Linked DNA regions of Callithrix jacchus. Each later gene encodes a partner of the first gene's protein in a complex. Links are inferred from orthologs where the notes say so. Each region holds a gene or a part of one and is shown in the gene's direction. Other genes may lie near its edges.

Region 1 (4,098 bases):
ACCCCCTGGACTTTTTCCCCATCTTCTCCAGTCTGGCCTAGTTCCATCCTCTGGAATCACAGCCATTGGACGCTCTGGGTTTCCTGAGGCCATTTCACTGCCACCAACATCAGGAACCATTGCCACGTCCTAACCATGTGCCCTGGGAGCCTCTTGTTTCCAGAAGCTGCACAGAGATCCCTTAGATACCCTGTGTGTCTGTCTTTGGCCTGGAAAATACTCTCACCCTGGTGCTAGTTTGTACAAACTGCCGCAAATACAGAGCCTGAGGGCTCTCCCCTCGTCCTCACCAACCTCTGCCTGGCATAGCCTGAGGCTCAGCAGGCAGCGGATGCTGAGGCAGGGCACGCAGGGAGAGGCTAGGTCATGTCATCTGGTACCGCAGCCACCAAACAATGAAGCGACACTGATTCCACAAGGTGCATCTGCATCCCCACCGGATGCAGTCCATCCTGTCACCCAGCCACGCAGACCTTTATGATCCCCTTTCCAGGGAGGGAACAGGAAGCCCCAGAGAGGGCCAGTGCTTGGCAGGCACCTTGGCCGGGGCCATTCCCAAGTCCCTCACAGGCAAGGTCTCCCTACCTGCCTGTCTCAGGTACATCCCTGAGGGCCTGCAGTGCTCATGTGGAATCGACTACTACACGCTCAAGCCGGAGGTCAACAACGAGTCCTTTGTCATCTACATGTTCGTGGTCCACTTCACCATCCCCATGATTGTCATCTTCTTCTGCTATGGGCAGCTTGTCTTCACCGTCAAGGAGGTACGGGCTGGGGGTGGGTGGCCTCTGAGCGTCCAGCCCCCAACGCACATCTACAGCTCCTGCTCCTCGGAGGAGCCATGGTCTGGACCCGGGTCCCGTGTCCCTGCAGGCCGCCGCCCAGCAGCAGGAGTCGGCCACCACACAGAAGGCGGAGAAGGAGGTCACCCGGATGGTCATCATCATGGTCATCGCTTTCCTGATCTGCTGGGTGCCCTATGCCAGCGTGGCATTCTACATCTTCACACACCAGGGCTCCAACTTCGGTCCCATCTTCATGACCATCCCAGCGTTCTTCGCCAAGAGCGCCGCCATCTACAACCCTGTCATCTATATCATGATGAACAAGCAGGTGCCTACTGCGGGTGGGAGGGCCCCAGTGCCCCAGGCCACGGGCACTGCCTGCTAAGGATAAGCTATGTGCCAGGGCAGGGGAGGGGGCTCCATCAGGGCTACTGGCAGTGGGGCTCACGGGTCAGCAGTGTCAATGGGGAGCGTGTGAGAAATGCAGGTTCCTGGACCCCACCCAGACCTGCTGAATCTCAGGGTGGGCCCAGGAACCTGCATCACCAGCAAGCCCTCCAGGTGCCTCGGATCCTCACTCAGGTGTCAGAAGCTCCAGTCCAGATGGTTCTGGAAGCCTGATGTCAACGTCAGCAGGTCCCAGGCCGAGAATGGGATGGGCCAGTCTCCATAAAGCTGAATAAGGAGCTAAAAAATCTTATTCTGAAGGGTAAAGGGATAAGGCAGTCCCATAACAAAGAGCAAGTGGTTTCCCCGAGGAACCCAGAAGGGGGGAAACAGTCTCTGAAGTCAGCTCTGCCATTTTCCAGCTTGTGGCGCTGGGCAAGTCAGTTCCCCTCTCTGGGCCTTGGTTTCCTCATCCATAGAAAGGGCAAAACACCAAACTCTCAGATTACAGGAGAGAATTTGCAGCACACCCTTGGCACGCAGAGGGCACCATGAAATGTTGAGGGTGATGCAGTCCCCTATTGCTCGGTCCCTGGCATCTCTACGGGTGGGGAGTGTCTGCTTAGCAAGTTCCCTCCAGGAGGCCGGATTTGAGTGGAACTGTGAGGGGCACAAGCCGGGAAAGGGTTGGGGCAAACCTCACCAACGTGCCAGTTCCAAGCGCACTGTGGGCAGCCCCGGTCCTAACTCAGGCCTCTTGCCTTTCAGTTCCGGAACTGCATGCTCACCACCATCTGCTGCGGCAAGAACCCACTGGGTGACGATGAGGCCTCCGCCACCGTGTCCAAGACGGAGACCAGCCAGGTGGCCCCGGCCTAAGACCTGCCAAGGACTCTGTGGCTGACCGTAGGCGTCTCCCATCCCCCACACTCTCCCCCAGCCACAGCCATCCCACCAGGAGCAGCGACTGTGCAGAATGAACGAAGTCACATAGGCTCCTTAATTTTTTTTTTTTTTTGAGAAATAATTCATGAGAGAAAAATGAGGTTTCTCACTCACCCGGGATGGCCTGAGAAGGGACATCCACGAAAACCTACTGATCTGGAGTCCCAGGTTCCCCAAGGCCAGTGGGATCTGTGCCCCTTCTCCTCCCAACTCATCTTTCAGGAACACGAGGGAAATCTTGCTTTCTGGAAAAATGTCCCAGTTTAGGGCTAAGTGTCTTGCACACAATGGAGCACACATAGGTGCTTAATAAATGCTAGATGGATGCAGGAAGGAATGGAGGAATGAATGAAGGAATGAATGGGAAGGGAGAACGTATCTGTCCTCTCAGACCCTCTTAGCAGCAGCAGCTCACACTTGGCTCATGATTTGGAGCAGTTGTTCTTCCCTCCCTGGGCCTCACTTTCTTCCCCTATGAAATGGAAATCCCACATCTCTGGTCCTGCCGACTTGCAGCTACTGAGAAGACCAAATGAGGGGCGTGTGTGTGTGTGTGTGTGTGTGTGTGTGTGTGTGTGTGTGTGTATGTGCGTGTGCTGCGTGTGCGTGTCCATGTGTGTGTTTAAGCACTTTGTAAATAGCAAGAAGCCGTACAGATGCTAGTTAACGTTGTGAATAACATCAATTAATGTAACTTGTTAATTATTATTAACAGGTAATTATGATCATTACCTCCTGATAGTGAACATTCTGAGATTGGGCATCAGAGGATGGGGTTTCAACCAGCCTTGGGGCGGATTTAAAATGAGTTAGGCCTCGAGGCCAGACCAGGGCTGGAGGTTGAGCTGCAGGCAGGGACAGTCACAGGAATGTAGAATGTAGTCATCAGACCTGAAAAACATTGGGGGAGAGGGGCAGTGAAGGCCAAGGTCCCAATGAGGGTGAGATTGGGCCTGGGGTCTCACCCCTAGGGTAGAACCCCAGACCCCATGCCTCCCCTTCTCAGTGTGGCCTATGGAGAGACAGGCCTTTCTCTCAGCCTCTGGAAGCTACCTGCCCTTTTGCCCCAGCACCTGAGTCCCAGCATCAAGAGCATGGAGTCTTTAGAAGCCATGCTCACCCGTCCACATTTAATGAAGAGCTGAGTCCCTGACGTCATCCTTATCTCGAAGAGCTTAGAAACAAAGAGTGGGATATTCCACCTGGCCCACCTTCCCTGGGGATGTTCATGAGCCCCAGTTTCCAGTTTCCCTTGCCAGACAAGCCCATCTGCAGCAGTTGCTAGTCCATTCTCCATTCTGGAGAGTCTGCTCCAAAAAGCTGGCCACATCTCTGAGGTGTCAGAATTGACCTCCCTCAGTAGCTGCTCCCCCTTCTCCATATAAGCAAAGCCAGAAGCTCTAGCTTTACCCAGCTCTGCCTGGAGATGAAGGCAAATTGGGCCATTAAAGCTCAGCTCCTATGTTGGTATTAATGGTGGTGGTTTTTGTTGCTTTCAAACTCTTTATCCACAGGATAGATTGAAACTGCCAGCTTCCACCTGATCCCTGACCCTGGGATGGCTGGATTGAGCAATGGGCAAAGCCAAGCCGCACAGAGTCCCCAGGAGCTACAGGTAGAGCGAATAGTCCTGGGAATGGGAAAAACCCCAAATTTGGGTTCATAGAAACACAGGTGACCCACAAAACAGCAAACAAGTTTTGTCACCTCTCTGAGCTTCCTTATCTGCAAAAGAGGATGTTAAAACTGACCTTGGCTGGGCACAGTGGCTCATAACTGCAATCCCAGCACTTTGGGGAGGCTGAGGCGGGTGGATCACGAGTTCAGGAGTTCGAGACCAGCCTGACCAACATGATGAAACCCTGTCTCTACTAAAAATACAAAAATTAGCCAAGCATGGTGGCACATGCCTACAATACTAGCTACTCAGGAGGCTGAGGGCAGCAAATCCCTTGAACCCAGGAGGAGGAGGTTGCAGTGC
Region 2 (3,987 bases), on another chromosome or scaffold:
CCTTCCAGAGTGCTGGGATTACAGGCATGCACCTCTACATCTCACTTATATAATACGGTTTTGTATTTTAACCTTTCTATTATAGGAGCAGCAAATGATTGTAGGAGAAAATGTGAAAAATTACAGACAAGAAAATTTAAGCAAAACCTACCATTTCCACCACGCAGAGACCACCAATGTTAGCTTAAGGTGTATTCTTGCATAGGTATAGCATGCATGCGAACACACATGTATATGTGTAAATGTGCTTGTGTGTATATGCATGTGTGTATGAATGTACATATATGTATGTATACACAAATGCATAGTCTCTGTGTGTTTGCAAAGCGCCATCCTGCAGCCTTGCTGGGTTCAGTCCCAATCTCTTACCTTTCCACTCCAGTCATTTTACCATAGTCAGATATTCCCAATGAACCCAAAATGTCCCACACATCCTTTTTGGCTAGTTGTGTATTCAATCTCGGGCTGCACATGACATCTGGGTGTCAAGTGCCATAGTGTCTTTTAATCTAGTAAACCCCATTTCTATGGCATTGTTTGCTGGATTTCTCCAGCAGCTCTCTTGTGTCATGTAGCTGGTTCCTTGTATTTCTGATAAACTAGAAGTGATGTGTAAAGGCTCGTGGATTCAGGTTAACCCAAGGGGACATATCACGTGTGGCTGAGACCACCGGCAATGCTAAGATTGACCATGGTATCTGCCATGCACCTTGGGAGGACACCGCTATCCACGTGGCATCGCTTCAGTCCTGCAGTCATTTTCCCATCAACTCTTCACCTAATGGCTTTGGCACCAATGAATAGTCATTGTGTTTTAAAATAGGGGTTTTGCAGTTTAGGTATGGTGAGGCCAACAATCGAGTATGCTAAGGATGGGGTGACATTGAGGTAAAGACTCAAAGGAGTGAGCCATGTGGCTGCTGTGGGAAGAGTGTTCCTGGAGAGGAAGCAGCAGGTGGAAAGGCCTAAAGGCAGGTTTGCAGAAAAGCAGGCGAGGGGTGGTGGCTCATGTCTGTAACCCCAACGTTTTAGAAGGTTCAGGTGAGAGGATCAATTGAGGTCAGGAGTTTGAGACCAGCCCCCGTCTCTACAAAAGATTTAAAGAATTAGCCAGGTGTGGTGGCATGTGCCTGTAGTCCTAGCTACTCGAGAGGCTTAGGTGGGAGGAGCGCTGGAGCCCAGGAGTTCAAGGCTGCAGTGAGCTACGATTGCACCACTGCACTTCAGCTGGGGTGACAGAGTGAGACCCTGTCTCCGAAAGAAAAGGAAACAGACTCAGTACTCTGAAGCCAAGTGGGAGAGGGAGAGAGCGGTGAGAAACAAAGCCGGAGGTAACGGGAGGGGGCGCTGGAGCACGCCGGACTTGGCAAGCATTGTCCAGACTTAGCTGGGAAGCCACTGGAGCGTTTGGATGGGTGCCGATGCCCCAAACCTCAGAACGGGCCTTCCGCATATCCTTGTTTCATTCCTAGCTCAAGTCCCCCATGTAAGTGTGTTCTTGGTCACAGAGTGCCCTCCATGCATTCCCTGAGCGTTCTTGGGAGCAGGCATTGTTCCAGGCACTATGAAGACAGAAGTGAGAGAAATGAAATGGCATAGGCCCTGCCCTCCTGGAGCCTAGAATCTGGTGAGGGAGGAGAGACTGTAGAATAATTCTACCAGCCAGGCACAGTAGCTTATGCCTGTAATCCCAGCACTTTGGAGGCCAGGAGTTCGAGACCAACCTGGCCAGCATGATGAAACCCCATCTCTATTAAAAATACAAAAATTAGCTGGGCGTGGTGGTGCACAACTATAATCCCAGCTACTCGGGAGGCTGAGGCAGGAGGATCACTTGAACCCAGGAGGCGGAGGCAGCAGTGAGCCAAGATCACACCACTGCACTCCAGCCCAGGCCACAGAGTGAGACTCTGTCTCAAAAAAAAAAAAAAAAAAGAGTGAAGTGCAGGTGTGCCTCCAATCTGGTCCTGGAGGTTGGGGATGATTCCTGGTCAAAATCTGAAAGGCCAAGAAGGGTCAACAAGGTGAAGAGAGGAGAGGCTTGTTCCAGGCAAAAAGAACAGTGGGAAGGAGCAAGCATGGCAGACGACGTGGAAGGGAAGGCAGGCGGAGGTTCCAGAGGCTGCAGCCTTTCTGCCTGCATTCTAAGAGCAATGGGTGATTTAAGCAGGAGGTGACAGGTCGGGGCTCGGAAGGCCTCTCTGCCTCTGTGTGGAAAAGGGCCTGGAGAGTAGAAACAGATTTAGTTAGCTGGGCGTGATGGCTCATGCCTGTAATCCCAGCACTTTGGGAAGCCAAGGCAGGCAGATCACCTGAGGTCAGTTCAAGACCAGCCTGACCAACATAGTGAAACCCCGTCTCTACTAAAAATACAAAATTAGCAGGCATAGTGGTGTGCACCTGTAATCCCAGTTACTCAGAGGCTGAGGCTGGAGAATCACTTGAACCCCAGAGGCAGAGGTTACAGTGAGCCAAGACCGTGCCACTGCATTCTAACCTGGGAGATAGAGCAAGACTCCATCTCAAAGAAAGAAAGAAAGAAAGAAATATATGTAGTCAGACAGTGGGGAATCACTGCGGTCTGGGGAAGCAAAGCTGGGGATGGAGGACGCAGACAGGTCCCAGAGACACCGAAGAAATCAGCAGGACTCCTGAGCCATCAATCGGCAGGACCGGCTGGAGGAGAGGGACGGTATCCAGCTGGCCTGCATAATACCAGGTTCATCTTGAGGTTGACATTTATCCTTGACCTTTTTGTTTAGTCCCCACCCACAAGGTCGCATTAGCTGCCTGCTGAGTTTAATCAAATCTCTTCCTGTCCTGGCAAAGCCCGGGAATGAAGGGATAATCAGTCTATTTCCAGAATCCAAAGAGGTTTAGAAGAAAAAGTAGCTTTCATTTAGCTGTTGGCCCTCCCACCAACCTTCCCCAAGTGAGCCAGGTGACTCATACATATGTGAGACCCTCTGTCTGGAGACTGGGGCGGAGGGTGTTGCTTAATGCCCAGAACTGCTGAAACTACCAGTTCACTGTCTGAGCACTAATCCTACTCTGCTCCTTAAGTGGGATTTGGCTTTTAGACATTGAGACCTGGATGCTGGGCATCCTCGCTAGATCCCCTACAAATTCCCTGCATACGTAGCCCAGGGCCTCGGCAGTGCCTCTGCGGGCTCATCTGGTGAGACGGTAGCAGCTTGCTCAGAACAGGCACTGGCTGTTCATCATCTCAGGGCATAGAGACCCTCTCCTTGCCACCTGGCTTTTCCCACCCGGTTGGTGACAAATCACAAGGTATGTGACCACCACAGGCCAAAACCTTCTCAGAAACCTGGGGCAGGTGTGGCGGGGGGAGCTAGGATGGGTGTTTTCATGCAGACAGTATGTCCCGGCTTCACTTTTTCTGTGTGGTTTCCGTAAGACTGTAATTAAGGAGACTCAGAGTGAGTCGGGGGCAGTGGCTCATGCCTATAGTCCCAGCGATTCAGGAGGCTGAGGATGGAGGATTGCTTGAGGCCAGGAATTCGAGACCAACTTGAGCAATACAGTCAAACCCAGTCTCTCCCAAAAAAAAAAAAAAAAATTAACTAGGCATGGTGGCACACACCTGTAGTCCTAGCTACTCCGTAGGCTGAGGCAGGAGGATTACTTGAGCCCAGGAGTTTGAGGCTGCAGTGAGCTATGATTGTGGCACTGCCCTCCAGCCCAGGCAACAGAACGAGATCCTGTATCTTAAAAAAAAAAAAAAAGCCTCAGAGTATGTTTAATTCCAGACCACTAAGATGGCCTCTTAATTGTAAAACAGAGTGGTAAAAGGGATAGCAAGAAAAGGCTATCTCTCAGTATGAACTGCTAAATAGAACTTTTGGGATTTTAATATATTCTTTTTTTTTTTTTTTAAGGTAGGATCTTTTTTTAAAAAAAGAGAAAAGGCAGGATCTTGCTGTGTCACCCAGGCCAGTCTCCACCTCCTGGCTTCAAATGATCCTC

Evidence for each region.
Region 2: the proteins of RHO (region 1) and SAG are in contact, whole or in part, in a crystal structure (PDB 4PXF), measured with the Bos taurus proteins. The link is inferred for Callithrix jacchus from reciprocal best matches to the Homo sapiens genes RHO and SAG. Residues at the interface, in NP_001014890.1 of Bos taurus: Arg135, Val138, Val139, Lys141, Leu226, Glu249, Val250, Met253, Met309, Asn310, Lys311, Gln312; in XP_010802144.1 of Bos taurus: Asp71, Ile72, Met75, Gly76, Leu77.

Annotation. Positions count from the first base shown.
Region 1 is NC_133516.1:72,615,957-72,620,054, reverse strand, and holds the end of RHO (rhodopsin), read left to right. Parts: intron 1-598; coding exon 599-764; intron 765-873; coding exon 874-1,113; intron 1,114-1,940; coding exon 1,941-2,051; 3' UTR 2,052-3,591; downstream 3,592-4,098. UniProt on the Homo sapiens protein: Photoreceptor required for image-forming vision at low light intensity. Required for photoreceptor cell viability after birth.
Region 2 is NC_133507.1:154,652,188-154,656,174, forward strand, and holds the start of SAG (S-arrestin), read left to right. Parts: upstream 1-1,181; 5' UTR 1,182-1,312; intron 1,313-3,085; exon of another isoform or gene 3,086-3,291; intron 3,292-3,987. UniProt on the Homo sapiens protein: Binds to photoactivated, phosphorylated RHO and terminates RHO signaling via G-proteins by competing with G-proteins for the same binding site on RHO. May play a role in preventing light-dependent degeneration of retinal photoreceptor cells.